4 linked regions of the Struthio camelus genome follow. The protein of the gene in region 4 interacts with the protein of the main gene of each other region in a pairwise test. Links are inferred from orthologs where the notes say so. Each region holds a gene or a part of one and is shown on either strand. Other genes may lie near its edges.

Evidence for each region.
Region 1: the proteins of GFAP (region 4) and ABI2 interact in binary tests that used the Homo sapiens proteins (3 or more experiments, as listed by UniProt). The link is inferred for Struthio camelus from reciprocal best matches to the Homo sapiens genes GFAP and ABI2.
Region 2: the proteins of GFAP (region 4) and SMARCB1 interact in binary tests that used the Homo sapiens proteins (3 or more experiments, as listed by UniProt). The link is inferred for Struthio camelus from reciprocal best matches to the Homo sapiens genes GFAP and SMARCB1.
Region 3: the proteins of GFAP (region 4) and CWF19L2 interact in binary tests that used the Homo sapiens proteins (3 or more experiments, as listed by UniProt). The link is inferred for Struthio camelus from reciprocal best matches to the Homo sapiens genes GFAP and CWF19L2.

The regions. Positions count from the first base shown.
Region 1 is NC_090947.1:7,860,982-7,868,543, reverse strand, and holds the start of ABI2 (abl interactor 2), read right to left. Parts: upstream 3,018-7,562; 5' UTR 2,977-3,017; coding exon 2,860-2,976; intron 1-2,859. UniProt on the Homo sapiens protein: Regulator of actin cytoskeleton dynamics underlying cell motility and adhesion. Functions as a component of the WAVE complex, which activates actin nucleating machinery Arp2/3 to drive lamellipodia formation.
Region 2 is NC_090958.1:9,548,314-9,555,156, forward strand, and holds the start of SMARCB1 (SWI/SNF-related matrix-associated actin-dependent regulator of chromatin subfamily B member 1), read right to left. Parts: upstream 3,021-6,843; 5' UTR 2,865-3,020; coding exon 2,772-2,864; intron 148-2,771; coding exon 36-147; intron 1-35. Other genes in the region: MMP11 (stromelysin-3), read right to left, coding at 4,303-4,436, 5,360-5,617.
Region 3 is NC_090942.1:205,989,746-205,997,048, forward strand, and holds the start of CWF19L2 (CWF19-like protein 2), read left to right. Parts: upstream 1-4,295; 5' UTR 4,296-4,364; coding exon 4,365-4,448; intron 4,449-7,303.
Region 4 is NC_090966.1:709,035-716,227, reverse strand, and holds the start of GFAP (glial fibrillary acidic protein), read right to left. Parts: upstream 3,013-7,193; 5' UTR 2,994-3,012; coding exon 2,491-2,993; intron 785-2,490; coding exon 724-784; intron 152-723; coding exon 56-151; intron 1-55.

The sequences.
Region 1 (7,562 bases), on a different chromosome or scaffold from region 4:
GTATCAATCACAATTTGCTTAATCAAACACTGCCAAGACTTCAAAGAATGGACTTTTCATTTCATATGAACAGGTCAAACGAGCTGCAATCGCAGCTCTACTGCTATGAACTAGCAATTCCCATATGTAAGAGATTACACGCTTGATTATTCTGAAGATGCTACGATACTGCTAAAGGGGAAAAATGACATTCACCTTTGCACTATACTTCCAATTCTTTATTAGACTGACCTATGCCACTACTGACTTTTGCAGCAATTTCTGTACTTAAAAGTAAAACCACAAAAACCTCAAAGCACCAACCGGTATAGAAAAAGGGAGCAGCTTTTCTACCGACAAATACAGGTCAATGTGATAGGACTTCAATGCCCCAATCACTGTACTGCCTACCATTCAACAGATCAAGTTCAGATCTGTCATGTTCTGAGCCTCCTCTAAGAGATCTCAAGAATATCCATGACAAAAAACTTCCGTCAACAATGAAACACTGCAAGATTGCAGTAGAATTAATCCCTCCTCGCTACATGACTTTTGGGGAGATTACTCTCCACACAGTTGCATGCAATCACAAGTCCATCCATCTTCAGCACAAAACGCAAGGCTACTTTTCTGGACGCAATTTGGACATAATTGTGGAATAATAAGTACTCTTAGAGGTAAAACTAGCAATGCTGTTAATTATACTCATTTACCTTTTTCCATTTTTTAAGAGGAAAAAAAAAAAGACAGCTTTGTGTATCGAGAGTTTATGCAATTTTGGTAAGAGACACCACGAGTGTGGGGAGGGTTCCCTGGTAGATTTGTTACAAGGACACTCGGGTCTACTAAATCCAGAAGGCCTTCAAGTTGGAACTCTTCTCAAGAATAACCCCTCACTGTGGTTTCTCAGTCAATACCAAAAGGCCCAAAACCTATCTCCAGTTGGCTGGGGACCTCCACCCCCCACCTCCACCTCCACCCCCCACCCCCATTTTCATACTGTGACCCACACTGCACTTCACAGCCGACGCTCATAACGCAGTTTTGTTCTTTCCTTCTAGCCCCCCTTGAAAGCTCTCCATCGTCATGATGTTTGGATGAACTGGCAACAGTCAGGGTCCTGCTGCGTGGTGGCCAGAATCCATCAGGCTTACCAATAGTGTCTCATTCATCTTTACTCACCATCTGTCTGTATCCTATTATTTTAGGCTATTCTTAGATTGTACGCTGTCTGGGGCAAGAACCATTTTTTTTTCTGTTTTGTATCTGCACAAAACAGCACAGCACTGTCCTCCTCTGTGGTATCTATTAAAACAATACAAGTGGAGCTGCTGGATATGGATTTTATAATCCTCTGCTTATAGGAAGAACGCTCAAGAAGGTCAAAGAAAGAGAGAACAAAAAAAAAAAAAAACCACTCATATCTCCCTCTTCCTACCAGTTTCAGCCTTCCAAGACTCCTGTCTCTTTTTCCAGAAAAATCAGTTTCCCATTTTTTAAAAAAGCATAAATTTTAAAACATACATGTCAGATTACAGCAGTAATAAAATATTTTAACATATTTTTCTTTACAAATGCAAGTGACGTTCATTCAACATATGGAATGTTACTACTTACATAATAAAGTATACGTATGCAATTTCACTGTAACTAACACGTTTTCTAAGTGACCTAACACATGCAAAATCCTCTCTCTCTGAAAGAAGGATGGTTATGCACCAATTTATAAGAAACAGTTTGAGCTTCTTTACTGTGACATTTTACCTAGTCCCTTGTCACTGGTTAAATAGTCTTTTCCTTCTTCACCGATAAAATAATCTAATCACAGCTCTTATCCCTACTTGCCCTTTGGAAACACACAAGCACTTTCCACTTAGGGGACTAAAAACAAAAATAAAACTGGAAACCTGTGCGCATCTTTCAGCACTGACACCACAAATCTACGTCCCCCTACTTTCTTCTCTATGCATCCAGGCCGTTCTTAGGAGCTAACTTCCGCTAATTTTGTTATCGTTTTGGGGTTTTGTTTGACGGGGTTTTCAGGGGGAACTCTCTTAATTTGGCCTCGGTACCGCTATCCAAGTAAACAGACTAAACCTGGTTTCTCTTCCCAGCAAAGAGTCCTCCCACCAACCCTACCTCTCGGGGGTCACTGCAAAATCATACGCTGCAGTAACAACTTCTGCTCAGTCTCTCTGCCCCTAGTTCAGTATCTTTCCTACTGTACCAAGCTTTCATCCTGCACTCATCACTTGGCAGCTGCCCACCCGTTTGAATACCGCAGCCCTGCTTGCAAAGGGAAACATATGAACCGACAGGCAGATCCCAACTAAAAATTATGTCAGCGTGCTGTAGACTAACAAGCGCAAATACTAAATTTAAAGGGGTCGAATATCCCCTCGGTTTATCACGTCATGTCGCTGCTGTCACCAAAGGAGAGGGAAAGGTGGGAAGGGAACGGGAGAGGGAAAAAATCTGAAATAAACATCCAGCAGCACGCTCACGAAGTGGAAGGACTTTAATTTAGAAACCAACGAAACGTTTAAACGCCGTGTCACGCCGGGGTAGCCCATTCTGGAGGCGAACCCGCCTTCCCCCTCCTCGGGCGGCAGCAGCGGCAGCCGGTGCCACCCGCCCGCCGCCAGCATCGCCGGGGGGGGGGGGGGGGGACACGGGACGACGGCTCGACCCCGCCGCCCCCCCGGGGAGCTGCGGCGGCCCCCGACAAACGGCGGTGAGGGCCGCCGCCACCCTGCCAAGCGGGGGGCTGCCCCAACGCCCGCCCCTCTCCCCTCACAGCGCCTCGCCGCCCGCGCGGCGACCGTTAGGCTGCGCGCGGCGACCGTTAGGCTGCGCCCGGCCCGGCCCGCCCCGCCGCACCTGGATGTAGTTGGTCTCGCAGTACTCGGCCACCCGCTCGAGGTTCGTGTAGCTGTCGAACAGGGCCCGGCGCCCCCCCGGGATCTCCTCCTCCAGCAGCATCTGCAGCTCCGCCATCTTCACATCCTCTCCCCTCCCCTCCCCTCCGCCCGCCCGCCCGTCCCGCTGCCGCCCGCCCGTCCCGCTACCCGCCGCCCGGGCCCGGCCTCGCGCCGCGGGCAGGCAGCGCGCGAGACCCCCACCGCGCCGCGGGGGCGGGGCGCGGCTGGGCGGCGCCTCCTGCGCATGCGCCCGCCCCCTCCCCTCTCCCCCTCCCCCCGCCCGCCCACTCGAGCCCACTTCCGGGCCCCGCCGGGCGACATCCGGGAGGCGCGGGGGTGCACCGGGAAACCCCTTCCCCCGTCGTGCCGCGGGGGACGCGACGGCGGGGGGAACGAGAAGCGAGGGCGCCAAGGGGCTGGGGGGGGGAGGGAGGGGGGGGGAAGAACGCGGCGCGCGGCGACCGTTGGGCTCGGGCGACCGTTGGGCCGGGGCGTCTCCGTCCTCGCCTCGACGGGTGCGAAGCGCTCACAGCCGGCTGGAGGTAGAAGACGAGGGCCTGGGTTTGTGTCACCCCCCCGCCGGGGTGGGCGCAGCTGTTGGCCAGGGTCGGCACGACCTGAAAAAAAAAAAACACGTGCTGGTTTCACTCACGGACTTCGGCAGCGTGGGGTTAATGAGGCAACTGAGGTGCTTCAGATCAGGAATATGCTGAAATAGACTGGCCTGGAACTTTCTCCCCTCAAGTTTGTGACTTGGGGACCCTTAAAAATAGCATTTGTTTGCTAAGCGCTTCTAATCTGCATTTTCATTTTATGAAGCCTTAGCCTTTTTTATCATTTTGCATTAATTTACTTAACAGCAACTTGCTAGCAGCACTCTTCCAGAGCCTAGGTCTAATTCCACATCCACTGATATCAAGAGAAGCTTTGTTTTTGAATACAATGTGTGCTAGGGTCAGACCCTTATGCTTTTAACGTAACTGCTGCTCAGTTCTTCTGATCAGCAGAGGAAGAACAAAATGTTTCTTTTGTGCAGATTCCATGTGAAAAGCAGCTATTGTACAGGGGCAAGAGGAAGGGTAAATTCTCAGCCTCCAAGTAGTCAGCTTTTCAACTTTAACAGAGGAAAGTGTATAATCCAAGGTCAGCTGAAACAGAGAGAAAGGACAGCCATGGCTAAAGCAGAGTGCTGAAGTCATGAGTTAGGAGGTCTGTTTGGTCAGTTCCTGGCTTTAACACTGACTTCCTTTATGTCCTAGGCAAGTCCCTCAGTATCTCTAAAACTGTGATGAAAATGCCTACCCTTAGAACAATGTTGAAGAGTTGAATGCCCTACTGAATTCTCTCAGCAAGCACCTAACAGCAACCTTTCTCCTACATAGGAAGGGATCAGCACCCTCAGCTAAAGCCTCCCAGCTTTCTCAAGGGAGGTCATTTCCCTCTTGGAAATGAATTAGCAGCTGTGGTTACTCATCTCATGCTCCCATGAGGTTCCACAGAGCCCCTGCTGCCACTGCAGGGCAGCCCTGGGCTATATGACATCCCTCACTTTGACATGATAGCATGACACTTGGTAGACACCAAGTAGAGAAGATCCAGGGCTAGTGCACCAACCTGGCATTGTGGGAAGGGTTATTCTGCATTGAACGCTGGCCCAGAGGCATCCATCTATCCTCCAGGGGATTTCTAGACTTACAGATAGATCCCAAACACTTGGTGGGGTCAGTCAACAAACATGCAGTCTTTGGGGCCAGCCCTTTAAGTTTCTTCCCTTAAAAGAGAAACGAGATAGAAATCCCTGCCCTGAGGGATGTCTGCCTGAAGACATCTTCCTCTTAGCTTGCAAAGGTTCTCCCATGTGAAGGATGAGTCAGGCTCAGCGTTCGTTAACACTGCTTTGAAAATCTCATGTGCAAAGCATTTTTCTCTCATTTTTTCTCCTGTGGGTTAAAATTTACAACTTCAGCTACTTAATTGTGTGTTTCAATTTTTCTTTAGGCAGTTGTGCCGAGACACATTCATATTTTGCAGCTGTAGTAGTCTAATTTCACAGAGAGATTTTGGGATCACAAAACACCCTGACAGGGACCCTGTGCCATGACATGCACTTGGGGGTGGGGGGGGGAGTCATTCCTCAACAGCGTGCATGCTTCAGGCAGCTGCGCTGCTGTGGTGTTAGGCCTCCCAGTGCTCTCCGCAGGGGATTCTGGTGCTCGCTGCCCTAAAATTATATGGACTGATGAACTGAGTGCTGTGTAGTCTTGTTCTTGGTACCCTCTCCTTCAAGGTTTGAAAAACATGAGTTACACCTCCAAAAATGTTGATCATCTTGTAATCAAAGAATAAACTCTCAGTTCCTCTAGTGATTGCTACCCACCTTTTGAGAGAGCTGAACCAACCCGTTGCTGCAGAGGCTCAGGGGAGAAAAGTCAGCCGAGATCAACCCGCAAGGTGCTGCTGTACGGTGTGGAGCTCCGAGCCTCGTCCCACGCCTCCAAGAGTCCACCGTTGCCAGGCCTCAGCCTTCCCTTGGGCCTCCTGCCAATGAGTAACGCTTTCACACTGAGGTACCGGGCCTCGTGCTCCCTCCTCACGCTTGCTTCAGGTTGGACTCCCCTGGGTCGCACCTGGCCCTGCTGTGGCTCCGGTAGTTACTCGCACCCACGTTCCCAGGGCACTGCATTTGTGCCAGGCTGGAAGCAAGCTGAGGCTTCCCTTCCCTCGTTCATTTACTTCTCAGGTGTCAAGTCAAGCTGTCATGTGGCACCTCCCCACGGTTGTAAACCTGCTCCTTCTCTTGGCAAAAGGAGAAAGCTGTCAAGATGTTAAGGGGAAGATTTTCCAAAGAGGCTGTTATGTGTTTTAACTCAAATTAGTAGCACCAGGTTGCAGGGAGGGGGAACTGTTAATTGTGTCATCTCTCTGCGCTTTTGGGTGTCTCCAGGGCCTGCATTCCGTGGAAACCTGCAAGGGCCCATCTGCCGCCAGCTCCACGCTCCGCGTCAGCAGACGTTTTCACAGGGAGCTCCCGTCCATGGGTCAGGCGCCTCTTGACCTCTCAGCGGCCCTGCCAGTGATTTTTAGGGTATAATGAAACGGACCATCTGAGATATGTGCGCACGCCCCTGTTCACCACAGTAGCTGGTCTACCCTGCCTCCATAATTAGGTGCTTGCTATCGCAGCATGTTCACTTTTTTTTTTTTTTTTTTTTTTTACCAGAGTAGTCTTTGATTGATTTAAATTTATATATGAAGAGCCCTGCTGTCAATGCAATGACCATCCTATAATCCTCTCTACACGTACAAAAAATAATTGGAAATAGTGTTTAAATTAGACCAACTGAATCCAACTACCACTTCCCTAAATTTACATAAATGAGTTCCCATCTGTCAAGTGAAGTGATGTGCTAAAGTAATTTTAAGCTTTTTAACTCCCCCAGCCTTAGTTGCACGATTACACACTTTGACTTTTCCAAGTTGTTTTCTTTTTAATGCTTTTGTGCAACATTTTCCTCCTTAGCACAATAGCTTTAAGGCTGGGAAGCAAATGCATTTTCCTCCTAAACATACTGTGCAATCACCATACAATAGAAAGGTAAGCACCTAGTGGGAGACACTCAACTGGAGGTGGAGCCCGAAAGCACAGGGAGACCAGTATGCTGCTGAGTTCCCCCCCACACATTATGTTTTACCTCTGCCAGTCACCCAAGGGAGCGACTGCTCACAAAAACTTGCAGAGACGAGTAAATTGTTTCATCGTGTGCAATCAATCTCACAGCTGGGCACCTTGTGCGTGTCCCACAGTTTGAATAACCAATTTTTAATTAGAGAAAAGTGGTAATGGAGTCGCTCAAAGGCCATCGCACATTTTTGGCACCACAGTGAGACATCACAATGAACGCATGCATTTACAAGCCTCTTCCATTTTCTTTCCTATACGGAAACCTGAACAGCACAGTCACTACATCTGGGTTATGTGAGCTAACATCCCATTAGACAGATGACCAGGTCAGATCGCTGGCATACTGTAGCAGGTTTTCTGTACTCTTGTGTAAATAGCTCTGCTCTAGTTTTAAGAGGTTCGCATTTCTGAGACTTTTGCCCTTAACAAAAAACTTCTCACATTTTGTAAAAAGTGGAAAGAAAAGCTGAAAATCCCCATGCTTGCTGCATCACATGGAGCCTAACAAATTTACAGCTGCGCAAAGGACAAAGAACAGCTGGACACTGACGCTGAACATATGGTCACGCACACTGACCATATGCATAGACCCAGGCCCTCTTACTCAGCCATCAGGAAACATTTACAGGGGGCATGGGGGTGGGAGGAGAAATCGGGGGATTGAAGAAAATAGTTTGTAGCTTATGTAACTCCACTCTCCCAGCAAAGACATTGCTGAGCCATCCTGCCCGCTCCAGATAATGCCTGCATACACCTCTGGCTGGATGGCAGATCTTTGCTAGTCTAATAATCCAAAGCACTTGAAGCTAATAGCAGAGTGAGATGCATTTAACTCCCAAGGTTATTCCCTAGTGTCAGGGGTGCCCTCAAGGCACGGCACAAAACGCACCTCCTATACATCCAACACTTGCGACAAATGGTGTCAGGCTCCTCAGGCGTCTTAAACACTCAGCCTCCAGTCTTCACTGTAAAACAGACTG
Region 2 (6,843 bases), on a different chromosome or scaffold from region 4:
ACTTCAGTACTGGGAATGTTTACTCATCTTCTTACCGTGTGAAGATGCCACTATCTTCTTCCTCTCTTCCACTGTGGCTAGTCGCCTCCACAGTGAGGGATATCTCTTGTACAGGGAACCTCGGAACATACGCAGATAGTTCCCCACCTACAAGGAGGAATGGGGAGACACGGCCTGGAAATACGTTCCGTCTAGAAAGATATTTAGCAGAACCCGAAGCAAATTCAGGACTTGGTAATGACAACTGGGACCTCTAGAGAAGATGTATTTGTTTTGGTTTTTTGCCAAAAGGCTCATCATATAGCATATAGCCCAATTTTTGCAGCAATACAGAAAAAGCTTTTATCAGCATTTATTTCACTAGTCTGATAAGAAAAAACTCTCATCCATCGACAATAATCCATTTAATAGGAAAACCCATTCATTTTCATGTATTTTTGAACAGTCTAATGTTTCCTCTACTCCAGTTGCTGTTCCAATGAACAATGCTCATTAGAAATTACATCAAACCAGATACCTAGCTGTCCAACAATATTATTTTTACTTTGAACCTCTGTGCCATCCAGATATCACTTGGATATAGCAAAGCCCAGAGACTTGCCTTGTGTTTTATTTAAAATTCTTTGAACATATAGAACATGAACACTAACAACAATCCTCTCTCAAATTTACTTGGCATCTGTAAAGCAGTTCCATTTTCCCTCGGTGCAAGATTCACACCCACACTGAAAGCTACACCAAGATCTGCTAAAGTACTATTTCTAGACTACAAAACTAAAATTTTAGACTGGCAATATACTTGCGGACTGCCACACAACAAGGTTTGTTTTTCAAGACTCGTTTTGGTCCTAAGATCTAATTTCAGATAATTGTTAATCTTATCTGTTTCTCTACAGGACTCATCAACAGACAGAAATTAGCTTGTACATAAAAAGGCAACTCTCTTTTCCCCTTGCACACATCTGGTATTGCAAACTCGCAGATTTGCTGACTGCAGTTACAGTTCTTCTAGGAAACATTTCACACGCTCTCAAGAGAGTGAGTGATCTTGAGTCCCTGCTCAACATGTACAGTTGACAATTTAAGTTATCCAAGATTTCTTGTCCTACATCTTTTCCTGTTCTTTTCCAACTGTAATCATTTCTCTGCTTCTTGCTTCACTAAGTCCAGCCTTCAAGAAGCAGCCTCTCACCACGAGAGAATACCATTTCTGCAAATACACTGGGGTGCTGAAATTCTACACAAGGCTGAAGAGGCTGCACTGGCTGATGCTGTTGTTATTACTAAGCATAAAGGCCTAGATGTTGACTTAAATCACCTCAGAGCATCTGAAATAATCCCAAATGTTCGAACAAGCACGCTACAAAAATGTCACAAGTTAGAGCATCAGGCCATAAAGCTCAGCAACTCTCAAGCAGAGGGGAGCAGGACATAATACTGGGGCCCAAGGCTGTGACCCACAGAGGAACCAGCCTCTATACTCCGTGATGTACACAGACACGTGTGACTTGTGAGAGCCGCCCTTGCTGGGAGCGCTGACCCCAGCAAAGGTGAGATGCCCCAGCTCGACCGCTGAGAGCCCAAACTGCTGCCCGCGCAACAGCCGCCAGCGCGCGCAGCGGAGAGGACCTGCAGGGCTGGCAGCACCACGCTGGGCAGGATCCCCTCCCGGGGTGCAAGGGGAGACTCCTAGGCCTCTCCTGCGCGAGCCTCACCACGAGCTCCCATGGCACAGACTTCCCCCTCCGGGAGCCCTCATGTCACTTCCCCCCAGGTGCGAGCAGGCACCCCATAGCCCCTGCCCTACTCTGAGCCCAGCCCTGCCATGCTCCCTCCCCCCAGCCCAGCCCCCTGAGCCCACCCTCCATAGTGCCCCCCAGCCCAGACCCCATAGCTCCCCCCAGCCCTGAGCCCAGACCCCTGAGCCCACCCTCCATAGCTCCTCACAGCCCCCCAGCCCAGACCCCTGAGCCCACCCTCCATAGCTCCCCCCAGCCCTGAGCCCAGACCCCCTGAGCCCACCCTCCATAGCTCCTCGCAGCCCCCCAGCCCAGACCCCTGAGCCCACCCTCCATAGCTCCCCCCAGCCCTGAGCCCAGACCCCTGAGCCCACCCTCCATAGCTCCCCCCAGCCCTGAGCCCAGACCCCTGAGCCCACCCTCCATAGCTCCCCCCAGCCCTGAGCCCAGACCCCTGAGCCCACCCTCCATAGCTCCCCGCAGCCCCTCAGCCCATCCCCCATAGCTCCCCCCAGCCCTGAGCCTAGACCCCCCCAGCCCATCCCCCATAGCTCCCCCCAGCCCTGAGCCTAGACCCCCCCCAGCCCATCCCCCATAGCTCCCCCCAGCCCAGCCCCCCATAGCTCTCTACAGACTCTCCACAGCCCAGCCCCCCCATGACTCCCCCTGAGCTCAGGACTCCCCCACGGCTCCCCACTCCCCCCAGCCGGGGACCCCCTATAGATTCCTACAGCCCACCTCCCTCTCCAAACCCAACCCCCCCCCCGAGCTCCGGACCCCTATAGCTCCCCAGAGCGGCCCCTCCGAGCTCAGCCCCCCCCAGCTCCCCACAACCCCCCCCCCGAGTCCGGCCACCTCCATAACTTCCCCCTGGGCCCCCCGGGCCTCCACCGAGCCCGGCGCCCCCCACCCCCCGACCATCCCCCCAACCCACCCCTATACCTCCCCTGACATCCCCCCGCCCCCCCCAGGGCCGAGTCCCGCCCTGCCCCGCCCGGGCCATTGTGCGCGGGGCCGCGCGTCCCGCCGCACCTCGGAGCCGATCATGTAGAACTCGCCGTCCTCCTCCAGCTGGAACTTGACGGGCTTCTGCCCGAAGGTCTTGCTCAGCGCCATCATCATCATCGTGGCGGCGGCGCGGGGCGGCGGCGGCAGCGCCGCGGTCCTGAGCGGGGCGAGCGCGAGAGCCGGCGGCAGCGGCGGCGGCAACGACGAGCAGCGCCGCGGCCTAGTCCGAGCGCCGCCTCGCGCATGCGCCGGGGCGCCCCGCCCCCGCCGGCCGGGCCTTAAAGGCGCCGCGCGCGGCGAAAGAGGCCGCGCGCGGCCGTTGCCGCCTCACCGCGAGGGGAGGGCGGTCCCTGAGGAGGGGGTGGGGCGGCGGCGGCAGCCGTTAACGGTCGCGCGTTGAGGTAACGCTCCGCCGCGGGAGCCGGTGGCGAGGCAGGGCGAGGCAGGCGGCGCTTGGGCAGGAGGCCGGTTTATTGGTACAGCACAGTACACAAATATATACACAGTATATATCGCGGGGGTCGTGCGCGTCGTGCAAGCGCGGAGCGGCCGGGCCGGGGGCTTCCCCGCGCCGTCCTCGGCCCCCGGGCGGCGCGGAGCTGAACGGCTGTCTTCCTTTCGTCCCCCAGGGAGGAGGGGGCGGTGAGGCGCGTGAGTGGGTCGCGAGTTTGAAAGGAAGAGACCCTTTCCCTTTTTTTTTTTTTTTTCTTTCCTCCCCATACTGCTGTGTAGCATGTGCAAAGAGCTGAACTGAGGCTTGTGCATTGTCGGAATGGTGTCCGGATGGACCTGTCTGCTGGAAATAGTGAGTGGGACGAGACCCATCAGTGCGGTAATGAGCAACCTAATACCAGGAACCTAACTTAAAAAGAACATACGGAGCAATAGGGCAGTGACCAGCACTGAAACCTAGCGTCTTGGAAGGAAGGAGGCACATTGTCTATTTACAAAACAGTATAAAATTCTAACGCATACTAGTGATACAACATAAAACCAAGAGTAGAGCTGTGACAGGGTATTGGTATTCACCATTGCAGCTGTGGTGAAGTGACCCTGGCAACATGGCTACACGTCTGAATTTCTCCATAGGCAGTCAGTGTCCGTAAAACTCCCTGGCTAAGGGTGAGGAAGGCATCTCAGTGGAATCCTTCCTCTGAGGCCAATGTCTGGAACAGCAAATGGGATGCTACTGTGAGCAATGTAAACATAGGAAATACCACCAGATCAGTTTAACATGATAGGGTCCAGGTTAATTAGGAAAGCCTGATCCCATTTCAGGCTTGCTCAAAGGCTTTTGGGATGCCATTGTTGGAAGAGCTTGGCCACTTTAGCAGTTTAGTGGCTGCTCTGTTTGTAGAGAATGTGCCAGACACTTTATTTTGGAGGCTGCTGGAACTGGAGAGGAGCAACCTTTGTCACTTGTGACAGGCATCAGTTGTATCAGATGCTGAGCCTTAAAGGAAGCCAGGAGTGGCAGCGAGAACCCTGTGTCTGTGTGGCTGCTGGAGATAAAGGAGATGAGAGGGAAATGTGGAGGACGTGAGCATCCCCCTCTTCATCGGAAGGAGTTGGAGGAAGGTGTGCAGCTGAAGAAGTCCTGGCTGATCTGGCGTGGGTAACCCTCCAGCACTTTCACCTGGACTGGGTCAAATTTCCAGTAATCTTGGCCTCTCAGGAAATAGGCAAAACCTGTAGATGGGAGATAAAGGGTTAGGAAAGACAAGGCCCACACAGCTCAGCTCTTTCCTAGCATTTTGTTTTGCTGATGCACCACAGCACATGGGATGTGGAGTACTAAAAGAGAGCCTGGATTCAAGTGAAATGAATCTAGCTGCATCTTCAGCCTTTTCCAGATTTGTGACTTGCACTGTTCTTTCACATGGCTTTAGTTTTGATGGAAGAGCAAACAGGATGGATTTTATTTTACATATTGGGTGATTTTAAATATGCTGTGCCAGTGTAGTAGCCTAGCCCTGGAAGGGCAGAGGGAGTTTAGGATCTGAACAGGACCGATGGAAGGGAGTTTGTGAAGACCTGCTAAAGAGTATCTGTTACCGTAGGGAAATTTCTCTGGGATTTTAGGTCATTACTGGAAGCACCAGTGAGTTATTCCACCACATCCTTTGGGAGAGAGGGAGTTGCACAGCCGTCATCCCAAGCACCCAGTGTATCTGTGGCACTGCATGGGACACCTCTGGGAGGACTAGCTAATACTGGAAGCAGCCTGCTCATTCAGGACAGCTACCTAGGCTGAAATGTGGGCAGCGGTTCTGGTGACATCTCATCTCTTCCTCTGTGGGAAGTGGTAGCAGCTGGGCAAGACTCCATGAATATTTCTTTGTGAGAAGTTTGAATTCTCTCTATCAGATGCATAGCTGTTAACTAATTTTTGCAATTAATAATTACAAGGCTTGCTACTTCAGTGAGAGAAGCCTCAGTTCCCTCCCCACTGGAGGGAGCTGCCTTGCTCTCCATACACTGTATATCATGTGCAATGGCTGGAAAATGTCCATTATTATTAAGCATCTAAATCTGCCCAGTTCTTCCAGCTGGGAAGCGAGGTCAGCCTGAAAGACCACCCCAGAGCAGGCCTTGTCCCTTCTGGCACTGACCAAACTCATCTTGGAAAGCAGCATCAGTCTCCTGAGGGACGCCACGCCAGTCAGCCATGGTCCGAGGGTAGATGTTGTCCACTTGACGGGTATGAGGGTTGAAGCGCCAGTAGTTGCCTCCGCTGAAGATGTAGATCTTGTTCTTCTCAGCCCCCCACACCAAAGCTGCCTGGACAGGGGAAGCAGGGAGGCCCAGCTCCGCAATAGGGGTAGGGCCAGAAACCCGTCTTTCACCTTCATAAATCCAGTACCGAGAGTCTGGCGAGAAGGCAGAAAAGGGAGACAAAGCTCAGAAACTCTTTAGTATCTGATAACTCAGCAGTGAGCTGTGCAACTGGGAGCGGTGCCTTGGCAGAGCTCCCAGGCAAAGGAGAGAGGAGAAATCCCATCACTGTCACAAACACTGTCACTGACAGGCACCTGAAGCCTAGGAGCGCAAGGAGCTGAATTCCCACCTCTCTCCAGCCCAGAGGGTAGGATGAGGAAGACTGCTTTCACAGCTGTCTTTTTTTTCTATTTATGGAAGTTGTAATAAACGATTTGGCTTTGTATTTGAGCTATCCAGCTGCCCAGCCTGTTTTCTCATAGGCTTATCACTGTGGAGAGCCCTGCACGCATGTGGAAGGGCGTATTTCTCTCAAGCTGCTCCAGTCAGCTGGGTCTGGTTGTAGTTTTCAAGTAGGCGTTTGGGCAGTGGATCAAAGCCCTGAGCTTTGAGTTTGCTCTGGTTATGCCGAAGGAGGATCAAAACCCATTGTTGGATAAAACAATTTACAAAGCTGTAGAGATTGACAGGGTGAACGTTGATTCCTTTGACACCTATGCTGTGAAGCCTGGTGCTGTTGGGTGGGAGGAAAGAAGAAAAATGGGTCATCCTCTGACTGGACAGGGGGCATATTGCTTGTATGCCAAATCTGTGCACAGGGTAGAGTGGGAGGGACCTGTACTTACCCTCCAAGCCCTGCTCTTAGAGGAGAACATATGTGAGCATGCACAGGCATAAGGGGGGCATGTGGCTCTGAAGGAGCGAGCTACATAAACCAGCAAGAGGTTGCCAAACTGATAATATTTCCAGTTCAGGTTAAAATGGGAATCTCTATAATTACCCTGCAGCATGTAATACTTTTTCTTTATCTCATTTTAACTCGTGGTAGGAGCCTGCCAATTTTAGCACTGTAAACCCTTGTCTGCAGGTCAGGTGCTAGGTAATCTGCTTATGCAATAACGCTGCCTGCAGAGCTGCTTGGTGCGTTTTCCAGTACTTGATCTCACAGTGCACAGATGGGGCATGCACACACAGGGCAGCCAGGTAGCTATGTAATCCTGCATCCTCTCTGTTAAATTTGCACTGGGAAAGAGCATTAAAGAAAACAGTGAAGCTGAAACAGGGATTGTTGCTGGTCTTGGGCTTCAGAAATGGCTAGGAGGAAGTTTGGCTGTTTCATGAGCGATTGGTTTTTAACCCCTGCAGTGGCTGGAGATGG
Region 3 (7,303 bases), on a different chromosome or scaffold from region 4:
CGGGGCACAGCAGCGGCTTTCTTCAGTGTGTGTTTCCTATTCTGATAAAATCTTTTGTTTTCGACTCACAAAAAGAAAAAAAAGCATGCAAAAGCCCCACAAGAAACGTGCTGAACAAATGATCGTTTCGCATGTGTAACGGTACCATTTGCACTTCCTCACAAAACATTTATTAGTCAGTAGTTGTCACTAGAGAATTTCCCAAAGAACATCTCTTGCTATTACCGTCATGCACCTGGGGTGGGGAGAGACAAAATGGATGTATTTCTAAACCTCTTCCCCCTGCTCTTTCTGACCATAGTTGGAGAGAGAACTTGTTTTCAAAGTAGCTGAGCAAATTAACAAAATAGCAGTTGCTTGGGAGCAGACAACTCATGTTTTGCTATTGAATATTGAACAATGGGTGAAATCATTCTTCGATCCCTTACACTCCCCTCATTCATCTTCCCTGTAAAGTGGGTCTCTTTTCCAAGGCAGGCTGTCAGTATCATCAATGTCACAGCGGCTCTTTTGTTGCTGCTGGGACCGCTCTTTTTGATGGACAGTAGAAATTTGTCTGGTTTTTCAATTCAGGCCCTCATTGCACAATTCAGGCAAGAGAAACCAATCACCTGGATGTTGCTACTGCATTGATTTTTGGGCAAGGCATTCTGTCATTTTGTGGCACAGTTGCTTTCAATCTCTGCTGAGGAAACTTAGTAACATTTCTATAAAAGAAAAATACTTCCTTCCATAAAAAAATTTCCATTTGTCCATACTTTTTTCATTCTTTGTTCTTTTCCATAATTTCTCAAGGGACTGCGTTTTCTGTTTCTTAACTGAGCCATTGAAAATGTCCATCCCAGTCTAAGTGATCCCTCAGAACCTAATATAAATGACTACGCAGTAGAAACGGCAAGTGAAAACTGGGTGGTTTGAAAAATGAACAGAATGAGAACTGACTGAAAGTCAGTCCATCCTGACTTATGTGAACCTGCCCTCCATCCGCTCCCCAGCATCCTGTTAGATATTGTGCTTCAGAATGGTGTTAAAATCCAGATAAGAACCTCCCCCTAGCAGTAAGCTGGATTTATCCATTACCTTGCAGCTTCACCGCTGCGGCAAAAAAAGTTTCGTGCTCTCAAAGAACTCCTTTCCCGAGTGAAACACTGCCCTTTGCTTAAAGGAAACTGTGCAGAATCGCACTGAGTGGAGAGGATTTTTTCCAGCCTTTTTCATATAAAAATAAAACGTCAAATGGAGCCCTAAAGGCAAGCAGTGAAAGTTAGCAGCATGGAGGTTTATAACACAGGTCCGCTGGAGAATCGCTAGCTTGACCGTGCAGCTTATTTGAGGGAAAGTGTAAAATGTGTTGTTACATGGGAAATAGTAATTCACTCTGCAAGGTCAGTGCCTCTCTGTGGGGGTTCAGGAAAGAGCAGTAACTCTGGAACATTATTGTTCTATTAGTATGTTTAATTTTGGCAGTGTGAATAAGATGACTGAGCAGAGGTGTCCTGCTGACCATTACAAGCTGTATACCAAAGACTTGTTCTCTAGGTTCACTGCAGATTTCTGAGCATGTGAGCAAGTCTCAGAAATACTAATATGTTAAAATAAATGAGACTGAAGTTTCATTTTACTCTGCTTCCTCTGAGAAAACCCTTTTCTTGGATGAGGAGAGGAAATGAGGTAAAATTGTCATCCCTTTCCTAACTGTTGACCCCATACATTAAAGTCATCTCTCAAAAATCACAAGATGGCAGAATGATTCTATTTTAAAAATAGCTTTTGAATTTTAATTGCTTTTCAATTTTTGCCCTTCTAGAGTGCATTTGTATCATTGTTTCTCCTCTAAAATCATGAATATTGGAAACTTGAATTGAAATGAAAATTTACAGTATTACCTTATTACATGATGCAGAGGGTTATGAATATCAAGAATAATACTGAATATTGCAAAAGCTTACACACTGTTTCAAGCTCTCTTCTTTGTCTGTAACTTGAGGTTGTGGAAAACACATTTCCTGTTCTGACTGCAGCTGCTGGTAGAAGAAGCTATTGTCCACAGCAGTTGCAAACCACACTCGTGTCATAGTTACTGGCCTTTCTCTTCTCATGCAGTTCTTCCAAACACTTCTTAAATTGTTTCAGTCAGAACTGGTTGGTTTGGCTCACGGACTAACAATTTGCTCTTTAGCTTAAATATAAGCCCATGAAGCCAATATACCTGACTGCGCATGAAGAGGGTTAGGGAGTACGCACCTGAACTGCTGGCTGCCTGGAGGAAGTGGTAAAATCTGGGAGGGAAAAGACCCAGTGTATCAGTAAAGAGCATACATCACGATGAGCACAGGCTTTCCTTTCTGGGCAAGACCTGCGCTGTTCTTGCTTCTCCTCTCTCAGCCACAGTTGAGAGTCTTTTGCTGTATAAAGCTAAGGAATGAGCACAGCGTTTGTCAAAGCTGCTGGAATGTCCCTTGTATCCGCCCACTTACTTTGTTAATTGCTTCCTAAAGGGGGCTGATGTGCTACTTTTTCATGCAATGGCTATTAAGCTCTATCAGTTATGATTCTCTGCCTAGTGGTGATCTACGACAGGTTTTTCTTCAGAAGATGCTGCTAATTGTCATAGCATAAAGTGAACAAAGATGCAAATATGATTTACACATTGAATACCATCATGGAGATGATTATTCAGTCAGCGTTACCACTTTTAAAACATACTATCCAATGCAAATAGCTAATGAATTACCCCAACATTTTGCTCAGACTTTAACCCAAATAATGTTACTATTATTTGGCAACTGTGATTACGTTTGGTGGCAGACACACAGTAATGATTTGATCTTGTCCCAGAGAAATTGTGTGTCAGTTAAATACTTGCTTCACCTGAGATTTAGCAGCCCCTGTCATATACTATTGGCCAACTGCAACTTGTATGTACTTGAACACATTTTTTAAAGTTGCGCTTCTCCTGTCCAGACAGGTATTGAGCATTGGCAACCTGCCAGCTATAGAAGCCATATGTTAGCCATATGGAAGCCCCAAACTGGCTGCAAATGGAAGAGAAAGTGGCTGGAAGATAGTTCTGAAGACGGATCGTAGCAACGGGGAGCATCAGGCGCTATGTGGAGTCTGGGGGAGTCTGTTGAGCCACATCTTTCCCTTGCACAGTTCTCCTTAATCTGGGCTCCAGATGAGAAGTCCGAGGCTCAGGTAGAGTCCTTTTGGGCAGCAGCAGCACCTAAGGCTGGAATTCGGCCTTCCCATACCAATACTCTGTATTCATGGCCCTGTGAGTCAAGCGCCCACTAAGCTGTGTGTGCCATGACATGACATATTTGCTGTGACATTGACCTGGCAGGCTGTGGAACGTCTCCTAGAAGTTGGTGTGTGTGTGTGTGTGTGTGTGTGTGTGTGTGTGTGTGTGTGTGTGTGTGTGTGTACGTCTGTAGGTTTGAGTATGAGGTCTGGAGCAGGGCTGCGGGCCTCGGGCACTCACATGTCCCGGCACCAGCAACTGGGGACAGCGGGGATCCTGGGGGCAGCTCCTGGAAAGGCTGAGTGTCTACGGGCAGCTGCTGGAGGGATCCACATCGTATGTTTATGTATATATATGAGCTTTCCACTAATAGGCTTTCATTCTGATGAGCTGGTGAGTGGAACAGCATGAGGCCATCAGCGCTGCTTGTTTGCGCGAGTGCTGTTGTCCGTCGGCGTTCACCTCTGTGGCCACGTTCATATACGTTCATATATTGTATATATTCATATATATGCACGTGCTGTATGCACGCTAATTGGGAATAGGTGCTCAGCCCAGGCTGCACCTGGGCACAGGGGGGTGCGGCAGCCCCTCTCTCTCTCGGGCTGCCGGATGTGGCAGCTCCGAACGGAACTGCCCTTTTCTCGCAGGGGGAAAATGGCGGTTTGCCCTAGCAGCAGGGCAGCACCGAGACAGCCGCAGGCCCTTACACAGCCCTAACCCTGCCCTACGGAAACCTTTCGCGCGGTGCCAGCAACGCGCCTGGCCCGCGGGCGGGCTGCCCGCTTCCTGCGGCGCTTTCGCTTAGAAACCCTTTTTTTATTCTTTTTTTTTTTCCCGGATCATCCGTGCTGCCACGCCCCTCGCCCCGCCCCCGCCGCAGCGCCCCGCCCCAGTTCCACTGCCCCTCGCCCCGCCCCCGCCGCAGCGCCCCGCCCCAGTTCCACTGCCCCATCGCCCCGCCCCCGCCTCAGCGCCCCGCCCCTCGCCCCGGAATCCCCGCCCCTCTCCCCGCCCCAACCCCAGTGCACCGCCCCTCGCCCGCGCAGCTCCCAGCCGTTGTTTACGACAGCGCCGTGCGTGCGGTGAAGCTGCCCGGCGGCTGCTTTACGGCCGGGCCATGGCGTCGGAGCTGGAGGGCGAGGCGCGGGTGGCGGCGCGCAAGGAGCAGAGGCGGCGGGAACGGGAGGCGCTGCTGGCACAGGTGGGACCCCCGGCCTCTCCCCCCTTGCCGGGCAGAGCCTCTCCTCCCTCCGGGCAGCTGTGCCGTGGCGTACCCGCGGCGAGGGGAGGCCTCGGCCGGCGGCCTCCTTCTGCCCGGCCCCGAGGGCGGCCCTGCCCGCGTCCGGGCCCGGTCACGGCGGCCGGGGGCTCCGGGGGGAGAGCTCGAGCCCCTTCTCCCCTAGGGAGAGCCTTGTGCTGTCTGGCCAAAAAGGGGGGCTGGACCGCATCACCGGCAGTGACGAAAAGCTTTTCATTGGCAGCGGCCTCAGTTTATGTGTTTTGCCATTTACAGTGGTATTGATCCGTTCGGTATTTCACTTATCGTGTATGCCAATTCTTACATTTAAAGGCAATGTTTATAAGAAAATTAGGCAAGTCAGTGAACAGCAGCAACTTTGCCAGAACACTTTCATTTCCTCTTTGAAATCAAAGAAGTTCATGAGTATAAGAATAGTAAAGGAGCGTTTTGCATGACGTCTGGAGCCTATGGAAAGCTCTGTGTAAAAAGTTAACTTGGAATACCTTGGGTAACAGATTGCACTGAATATCCCTGTTCCTCTCGATGGCTTTCTTAATAAATAATGTTGAAATGCAGCTCTTCAGAGAAAACTCTATTGCTTGGTGCCATGATGCATTGAACTGCCCTGTCCTTCTCATTTTATAGAAAGTCCCGTTCACATCCCACTTTTACAAGATCAGATTGCGCTGTATAATGTTTATTTTAAGATTTGTTGAAACCAAGTAGTTGCTGTTCTTAATCATGCTTAGGAATACTTGAGAGCTAGCCAGAAAACAGAGCTTGTTGTACTTGGCACTATACAAATACAAGGTAGTATAACTTCAGAGAGTTTATATAGACAGAATAGCCACCAAGTGAAGCAACAGATATAACACCAGCTTGATGACTTCCTAGGGAAATGTATGTGCTTATAATTTATTTTTTCTTCAGAAGGTAATATAATGGGTAGGTAACAACTTGGACAGAAATGGGAGAGCCTGTTTTCGTGGAGCCAAGATATTAACTGATTGGTTACATCTTGCTGTAGCGTGAGCCAAGAGTTGGAAGTCTCCCTCTCATAGATGTTTTTGTCAAGTTGCTGCTACTATGAGAGCTATGTTAGATTTTATTTGAAGCCTGCTCATATGCTATCTTTGATACTTGTGCTGTAAGCTGCTGATTCTTGGTATGCATGTAGAGTGCATCCAAGTAGAGTGAATGATAAAGTAGTAAATGTCATGTTTGTTCCGTTGCATGATTTATTTTGAAGTTTAAGGACTAGGAGATAACTACATAGAAAGAAAAGTGAAGAAAAGAGTAAGAGGAGAACTGTTAAGGAAAAAGTCTAAAGTTGTGGTGACGGACTTTCAAGAGAAGGAAGACTAAAGTAAGCAGCAAACAAATCTTACTGGACAATACTGTTTTCAGAAAAAAAAGGAATTGGAAAGTGGCCTGAATATCCCAAGCGGCCTACAGGGTAGCGATGTTCTTCCTCAAGGTAAAGTCAGAGAGAAGACTAGAAGTAATATGTTGTGTGGGTATCTCCCTTGCACAGTTAGGGATCTAGGAGCGTTCTAGTGGAATATAGTAGGCGATAGGATTTCCCTTAAGTAACTTATTTGTTGAGTGGGATGTAATTACACTGATTCTGTGCTGTAGGAAGGGTGCATTACAACCTTGAATCTTTTCCGCCTTTTGACAAGCAGTTAAAGGAAATTCCTTTGACTTGGTAATAGTAAATAGTACCATCCTGTGAAAGTTTTACTTTTCATTTTGTTTTGCATTTTTCGCTACATTTAAGTTGTTACTAGGACTCCTGCTTTGCTCAGTTCAACCTCTTGGGTCTTCAGAAAATACTTTTAACTGGGAATGTTATGTAGGCTGCCATTTTCCTATCTCACATTTTCTTCCCACTTGCTGCTGCTTGTACTGCAAGCTCTCTGGGACAATTTTAAAAACCTTTTACTCATTTTACCTCTCATTTTAAAAACCTTTTACTACTACAGTAGCAGTAGTTTATTAAATAACCATATTCCTTCTTTTTATTTCCTTCAACATACGTCAGCAGTTTAATATGAAATAAAGTTCTTCTGTGAAGATGTTTGCAAATTTTTGGTGTAATTTCCCTTCCCGAATACCTGTGGGTGATTTCACTTCTTTTGTTCGTATCTGTAAAATACTGTTAATTTTGACTCATAGATACAAAAACATCACAAAAGTGTTTAATGTTATAGTAACGGGATTGTGATATTAATTATGCTGCAATCTCTGAAAAAGCTCATTTGCAGGTAGCTTTAACCTGTCATCATGCCCGTTTAAGTTCAGGGAGACACAGTAAAGCTCAGGAATTGGTTTTGGTTGCAGTAGTGTTGGAGAAATGCTACAGCAATGAAATAAAGCAGCTGTCATAGAGGAAAAGGTTGAAGTGGCTGATGTGAACGCTTAGTCGTCCAGAGCATGTGAAGTAAGAGGTGGTGAAGGTGGTTTTGCCAGGGTTTGAGTTGGTACTAGAAAGCACAATATCTTGAGCGCACTGGCTACAGTTCCACTGTTAGGATGTCTCGAAGTCCTTGATGATACTGTAGCCTTGTAGGTCCTAACTGTCTGTTCCACCCATTCTTATAGGTTTGGATGCTGTTCTTCAGCTTTGTTGAAGACTATTAGAAAAAACATGTTCTGAGGTTTTAGGATGAAACTAAATCTAAATCCTTGCCATCAGAAAAAGAAGGACAAAGCGGAAAACAGACAAACCAAAAACCTAACCTCTTCTTGACAGCACTCCCTGAAGTTTTATGTAGGAAAAAATTGCAAATGGGAAATTGTTTTTTTTTGTTTGT
Region 4 (7,193 bases):
CCTCAGTGTCCCCGCTCCACCCCTGGCCCCGCATGCTGCCTGGCCATGGCACTACCTCATCGTGGACCTTCCTCAGGAAGGTGATCTCCTCCTGCAGGGAGCCGACCCTGCGCTCCAGGTCCAGGCGAGCCAATGCGGCAGCGTCGACGTCCTGCCGCAGGAGGGAGGAAGAGGAGAGACAGTGTGATGCCTCACCTGTCCCTGCTGAGCTGGCCCTGAGGATCCTGGCCTGATCCTGCCTGTCCCAGCAATGGCCCTGCCCCAGCCCAGCCCAGCACCTACTGGCTCCCTCCTGCCCAGTCCTGCCTGTTCCCAAGTGTCACGGACCATCCCTGCCTGTCCCGGCCCATCCCCGAGTGTCCCAGGCTGTCCCTGCCCTCCCTGCCTCTAGCCTTGCCTGTCCCTGCCTGTCCCCAAGTGTCACAGACCATCCCTGCCCTTCCCAGTCCATGCCTGAGCACCCCAGACCATCCCTGCCTGTCCCTGAGTGTCCCAGGCCATCCCTGTCCACCCTTGCCTCTTGCCCTGCCTGTCCCCTGCCCTCCCCAGCCCAGTCCTGCTTGTCTCTGCGCGTCCCAGACCGTCCCCTGCCCATCTCTGCCTGTCCCCTGCCCATCCTGAATGTCCCAGCTGGTCCCTGCCCCATGCAGTCTGTCCCAGCCCACCCCTCGCCCCTGCCCCGCTCCCCGGGGCTGGGGGGCAGGATTCGGCCCCTGCCCTCACCTGCCTGTAGGCAGCCAGGGTGCTCTCGGCCTCCAGCCGCAGGGTCACCTCGTCCTGGAGCCTGCACCCGCAGGGAGACCCACCGTTACTCCTCACACAGCCTCGCTCATTAGGCACCATCGCTCATTAGGTGCTGCTGCTCGTTAGGCACTGGTACTCACTTTGCACCGGTGCTCATTAGGCACTGTTACTGGCTACACATTGCTACGTGTTATGTACTGTTACTCGTTAGGCACCGTCACTCACCAGTCATGGTGGCCACGTGCACCTTGGCCCCTCGGCCAGCCCCGCCGCCAACGCTGGCCCCGGCACCTGTGTCAGTGCATGTGCACGGCCCCACACTCCCCGCCACCCCTCCCCGGGCACGTGTTCCCCATGGCCCCCCATGCCACATGCATGTCCCTGGGTCCCCCCCCCCCCCACCCCCCATCAGGCTGGACACGCACCAGCCTCACATCCTCCCGCTCACACCGGCGGGCACGAGGGCCCGGCCTCGGCCGTGCCGCACCACCTGCGCAGACCCAGCTCACCGTGTCACACATGGCCCTTACACGGGGGTCCCCAGGCATGCATGGCCTTGCCCAGGGACCCCAGAGGCTGCTGCAGGGTGCATGTGTCCCGCAGAACTTCCCCTTGGGTTTTCAGGGAGGTTTCAGACCCCCCCCCCCGCTCCCCCCCGCTGCCTCGCATTTCCTGGAGCCAAGCCTGGCCATAGCCACCGCCACGCATGCACGGACATGGACACGGCCATGCGTGCACAGACACACATGCACAGACACGCATGGACACGGACATGCATGCGTGGACACAGCCGTGGATGCACAGACATGCATGCACAGACATGGACACAGCCATGCATGCACAGACACTGACATGGACATGCATGCATGGACACAGACACACATGCACGGGCATGGGCACAGCTGTGCATGGATGGACATGCATGCCTGGACATGGACACAAACACGCATGGAGAGATACAGGCATGGCTGTGCACACATGGACATGGTCATGCATGCATGGCCCCAGCCTCAGCTGCTAGCACACACCCAAACCAGTGCTGCTTCCAGCCGCACGCACACCCGCACCCAGCAGACACACCTGTGTGTACACATAGGGCCGAGCACCCACGATGCAGCTCAGTTAGAAATAGTCAGACTTGGAGGTTGGCCCCATTGCAGTGGGCTAGCGCTGTGTCCCACAATGGGACCCAGGTGTCTGGGTACTCCAGCTTGCGTACTGCACCCTGTGTCCCCTCCATGTGTGTGCCCGGAGCCCCGTAAAATCCCAGCTCATCCCACATCCCTTGGTGGACACCATGGTCTTCCTCAGGGGCAGCCTGGTTCCCATCACCACCATGGTCCCCAGGGTCATCCTGGTCCCCATCACCACCCTGGTCCCCGTGGTCACCCTGATCCCCATCCCAGTGACCACCCTACTCCCTGGGGCCATCCTGGTCCCCATTATCACACAGGTCCTTAGGGTCACCCTGGTCCCCATCCCCACCCTGGTCCCCAGGGACACACTCATCCTGGTGGCCACCTTGATCTCAGTCCTAGGGGCAGCCCTGGTCCCTGGGACAACCCTGGTCTCCATCACAATCCTGGTTCTAGTGGTTACCCTCATCCCCAAGGCCACCCTGATCCCCTCACCACCCTCATCTTGATGACCACCTTTGTCCCCATCACCCCCCTGGTTCCCATCATCCCCCCTGTGCCTGGGGCCACCCTGCCCCCCAGGGCTACTCCGAGCAGGGCAACACCTTACTTTTGCCGGAGGCCACCGAGGTCCTCAGCAAGGTTGTCCCGCTCGATCTCCAGGCGGGCCTTGGCGGTGGCGAGCTGCTCCACATGGCGCCGCAGGTCGCGCAGCTCCTCCTGGTAGACATCGGCCAGCCGCGAAGGCTCCTGGTCCCGCGCCTGATTGAGCTCCACCACCAGCACCTTGTTCTGCTGCTCCAGGAGCCGGACCTTCTCAATGTAGCTGGCGAAGCGGTCATTGAGCTCCATCATCTCCACCTTCTCATTGGTGCGCGTCTCCCTGAACTCCGAGTTGAGTGCGTCAGCCAACGAGAAGTCCATCTTGCTTGGCCCCAGGCGGGAGCCGGAGCGGAGGCCAAGGTGGACGCTCCTGGCCCGGGCAGTGGCGAGCCGGGCTGGGGAGCTGACGGGGGGCCCCCAGCGCACAGGGACAGCCCGGGGTGCCGGGGCGGCGACGGTGCCTGCGGGGCCGAAGCGGCGCCCGTAGGAGGACAGCCGCTGGCTCTCCATGGCGCGGGGTGGCTGCGCGGGGCCCGGCCAGGGGGTTTTATGCAGAGGGGCTGGCGGGGGGGCCAGCAGGCACTGAGGCGAGCACAAATCCCGGCCTTTGTGGTGCCTGGCGGGGAGGGACGCAGGCTGGCACCCTGCCCAAGCGCCGCGGCACGGCCCAGCAGCTCCACCGGCCCCACTGGGGCTCTGCGGGTACCCGCGGGAGCCAGGCAGATGGAGCCCCCGGGGTGCTGCAGGCAGAGCAGTGCCACGGCCCCGCAAGCCCACGTGCACGCTGCAGCTGGGTGCCGCTGCAAGGGGCTCAGGTGTAGCCGTGCCCAGGGGTCGAAAGTTGCCACGAAACTGCCGGCCATATGTGCTCATACAGCTGTGCACATGCATGCCTGTGCCCCCACACACGTGTGCACGCACAGCTGTGCGCATGCATGTCTCTCCCTCCATGTACATGTGCGCACATATGTGCATGCACAGCTATGTACATGCATGCCTGTCCCTGCATACACACACGTGCACATACGTGGCTGCCAGCCCCATTCAGGCAGGTTTGAAGGAAGTTTGGCCATGCGGAGAAGAAGCTAATTAAGATAGACTTTTAATTAAGTGTCTATTGGAACCCTCCAAAGCTGGTTCCACCCCAGCGGGTCTGCAAGAGCAGCGCAAACTCATAGCCCTGGCCAGGACTCCTGGGTCCCATTCCCAGCTCGGTGCAGCAATGGGGGAGCACGGGAAACTTTGGGGCTTCATGTCCTATCCTAGCAAAAAAAAAAAAAAAAAAAAAGGCAGAATTTGAGATTTCAAGAGAGCAGGCAGCCCGCTGGGATCCCTGCTTCTGCTGCCCCGAGGCCCCGAGGATGGCTAACGGGGGAGCCCTTCGTTAAACCCACCATCCTGGGGCGGGGGGTATGCCGAGACGCCAGCACCTCCGCCATCACACTGCTCTGAGCGGGCACACGCGTGTGCACGGCCAGGGCAAAGCCCCGGGTACCATGGGGATCTGTCAGCACCGCCGGCGACAGGGCGGCCCCATCCCCGCAGGGTGCTCATCTGTGCACCAAGTCGGGGTTATTTGTCCCCTTTTCCAATTGCGGGAACGTAAGGAGGGGCTGGGGCCCCCACAGCCCTGGCTCGCCTCCCGGCCCCCAGGCACGTGGCCGAGGGCCAGAGGCTTTCCCAGCGTGGAGAGCGCCAGAGTTGTGTGAAAGGGGCTTTGTGCACTGTGGGGCAGCGAGCGGCGCCCGGGAACAGGGGCGCCGAGGGGACCCGACCACTCCGGCATAGCAATGAGGGTGCCTTTATGCCAGGCTGGCGCGGGGACGCAGAGCTGCTCACCACCGGTAAACTCGGGGCAGCACAATGAGGCCGGATCCCGGGGTTTTCCCCAGCTTGCGGTTGCTGGGCAGGATTTGGGGGGCGATGGGCACATGGCCACCGGGAGCCACGTCCCCTCCGAGTCGCAGCATGGTGGGGGACATCCTGGGCGGTATCTGGCCCCTCCAGGCTGGTGGGGATTGGGGAGCAGAGCAAGGGGCGAGGAGGCTTTGGGGACACGCATGGTGGCTTAGGGGGAGCAGCGGCCAGCAGGAGCCCTGAGAGGTGGCTGGGACAGAGCCACCGAGGGTGGCTGACCCCAGGCACATTGATGGGGGACAGCAGGGTCTCTTGTGCACTCGTGGGGACGCTGCAGTGACGGGGACAGGCCTCGCTGGCTGGCAGCTAGGTGGCAGCCGATGGCCGGGAAAGGCTCCCTGTCCACACTGGTGCCGAGAGCTGCTGGTGGGCCGTGGCCTGGCCACCAGGGATGGGCTGGCTGCCCCAGGCTGCCTGCTGCCGCCATGTCCTGGGCTATGTCCTGTGGCCGTGTCCCTGGGGACTATGTCCCATGGCTGTGGCCGGAGAGGACAATCTCATCCTTCCAGCCTGGCAGCCCATGGTCCTGGCAGGGCAGAGCAGGGGACGGCGCTGAGATCGGGAAGCCAGCATTGGTGGCCGGCTTCCCAGCAGAGGCTGCAGCGGGGACAGGAGCGGGGCTGGATGCAGGATGCTCCCGGGGGCCAGCACCCATACTGGCACGCCAGGACGCCTGGGTCCTGCCACCAGACCTTGTGCAGGGGGGCTGCAGCCCTCGGGAACCAGAAGCAGGAATTAAATCACAGCAACTCACTCCCCATCAAAGCTCCTCATCCGTGAGGCTAGCTTGGGGTCTCACGCTCTAATGGACGTAAAACCACCCAGCAGGGTCCCTAGGTACCTCGAGCCGAATTTCAGCACGAGAGCACCCTGTCCTGAAGCCAAAGGGACATGCGGCCTGGGGAACCTGCAGCCCTCGCTCTCGCCGCCACCGCACCAGCATGGAGGGAGGGCTGCTTGGTGCAGGGAGGCAAGGCGGGCGCCGGATCTTCGGGGCACTGAGGAAGTCTCCGCTAATCTCCCCTGATACTTATTTTCTCCTGGCTCCTACGCAGCCAGGATCAAAGCATTGACGCCTTTTGCAAAAAGCTGTCACTCCCAGCGGCTGTGGGGAGGCAGATCTGGGCTCTCCCCCCACCCCCAGCCTCCTCTTAATGAGACAAATGAAGAGGAGAAAGCTGGAAGTTTTAATTATAAGCTTCCAGCCTCCAAGAATACAAAGGCGAGCACCCACTGCTGCAAGGCAGCTCTCCGCGCCAGAGCTGGGCAAGCGAAGTAGGTCAGGAGGAGCCGGTCACCCCCAAGCCCCAGGGGAGTAGCTTGCAAGCAGCTCCACCGCACACCCGGGGCCAGCTTGCGGCAGGAGCGCAGGGGCCAGGGCACGGGGGAGTGCGCTGAGCGCCCCAGCCCGGCTCAGACCTTGCATCCCTCTTCCCTGCACCCGTTCGGCAGTTTGGCCGGCTCCGAGGCTTTGTGGGAGGAAGTCGCCTTCAACGCGGGTCACAGGGACCCAGATGCATCGTGGCACCCAGGGACCAAGCTCTGGCTAGAAAAATAGGATCCAGCGTCATTTCGTCCTCTGCCAGGGCTGGAAGGAGAGGAAAGCAGCTAACAGTGGGCTGCCCCGTTCACAGGCCACTGGAGCAGCCCAAGGCAGGTCCTTGATGGCTTCAGGCCCCAGTGCGGTACCCAATGTAGCACAGAAGGGCAGGGAATCACCACGGTGCAGAGGGGAGAGCCGCAGTGCCCAGGCAGAGATGCTGGGGTTGGCAGCTGGCCAGAGCTAGAGATAAGGGAGCCCCTAGGGCAAGAGTAGGGATGGGTAGACAGGAATGGCAGGAGGGGGTTTTTGCAGGGGGAAAGTGGTGCAGAACAGCTCTCCGCAGCCATCAAGCATAGTGGCAAGCGGCCTATGTCTCCCCTCACCCACTCCACAGGACATGGAGCAAACCACCTGTCCCTTCCAAGGCACAACAGAGGGGCAAAAGCCACTTAAGGGAGCCACCAACGTGAAGATGGGAAGCCACGATGGGCTGGGCAGGGCCGAGATCCCCCCTGCGGCAGCTCTCAGGGGAGCAAAGGCCTGTCCAGGGCCCGCTTAGGTGGGAGCTGATACCCAACCATTGCTTCCTGCGTGAGGCGGAGGCAAGGAGGCCAGAAGCAACATCCACACGTCTCCCCGCACCCCTCTGGTTTTAAACTAAAAGATTTATTAAAAGCATGTTATTTCTTAGCATCACCCATCTGTTAGCACTCGACACCCCGGCGCAGATTACAGAGGGGCTGAGAGGGAACAGCAATAATCCATCTGCTACAAAAACATACAGAGCTGAGCAGAGGGAAGGTACGTGTAATCCAGGACAACGCCAGGACCCCAGGGATGGGAACTGGGAGGTGTTTGGCCAGTTTTAGGGGGGATCAGGTTGGACATGGGGCAGCAGAAGGCTGGGAACAAGCTCAGGGTTGAAGGCTCTGCACTCCTTCCCTTGTATGAAGCAGAGGAAAAGGGGAAGATCAGTCCCCTCACCTCAAGGAAGGAGCTGGAGGGATGTGATGGGGGTGGTCTCAGAGAAGGGCAAATTTTGGCACCTGAGTTTGGGCCCCTGGGAGGGCCAGGCCACAGGGAGGGGTCCTGGACTTTGCAGGTAATCAGCATAAGAACTTCATGGCCTGGGGTTTGGGAGCAGCAGAGGCACTGCTGAGCACTGCTAGCTCTTTCACACTCCTCTTGCTGCCTTTCTGGCCAAGACTGCCCGAACAATGTTCTGAGGATTGAAACAGAGAGGAAGATGA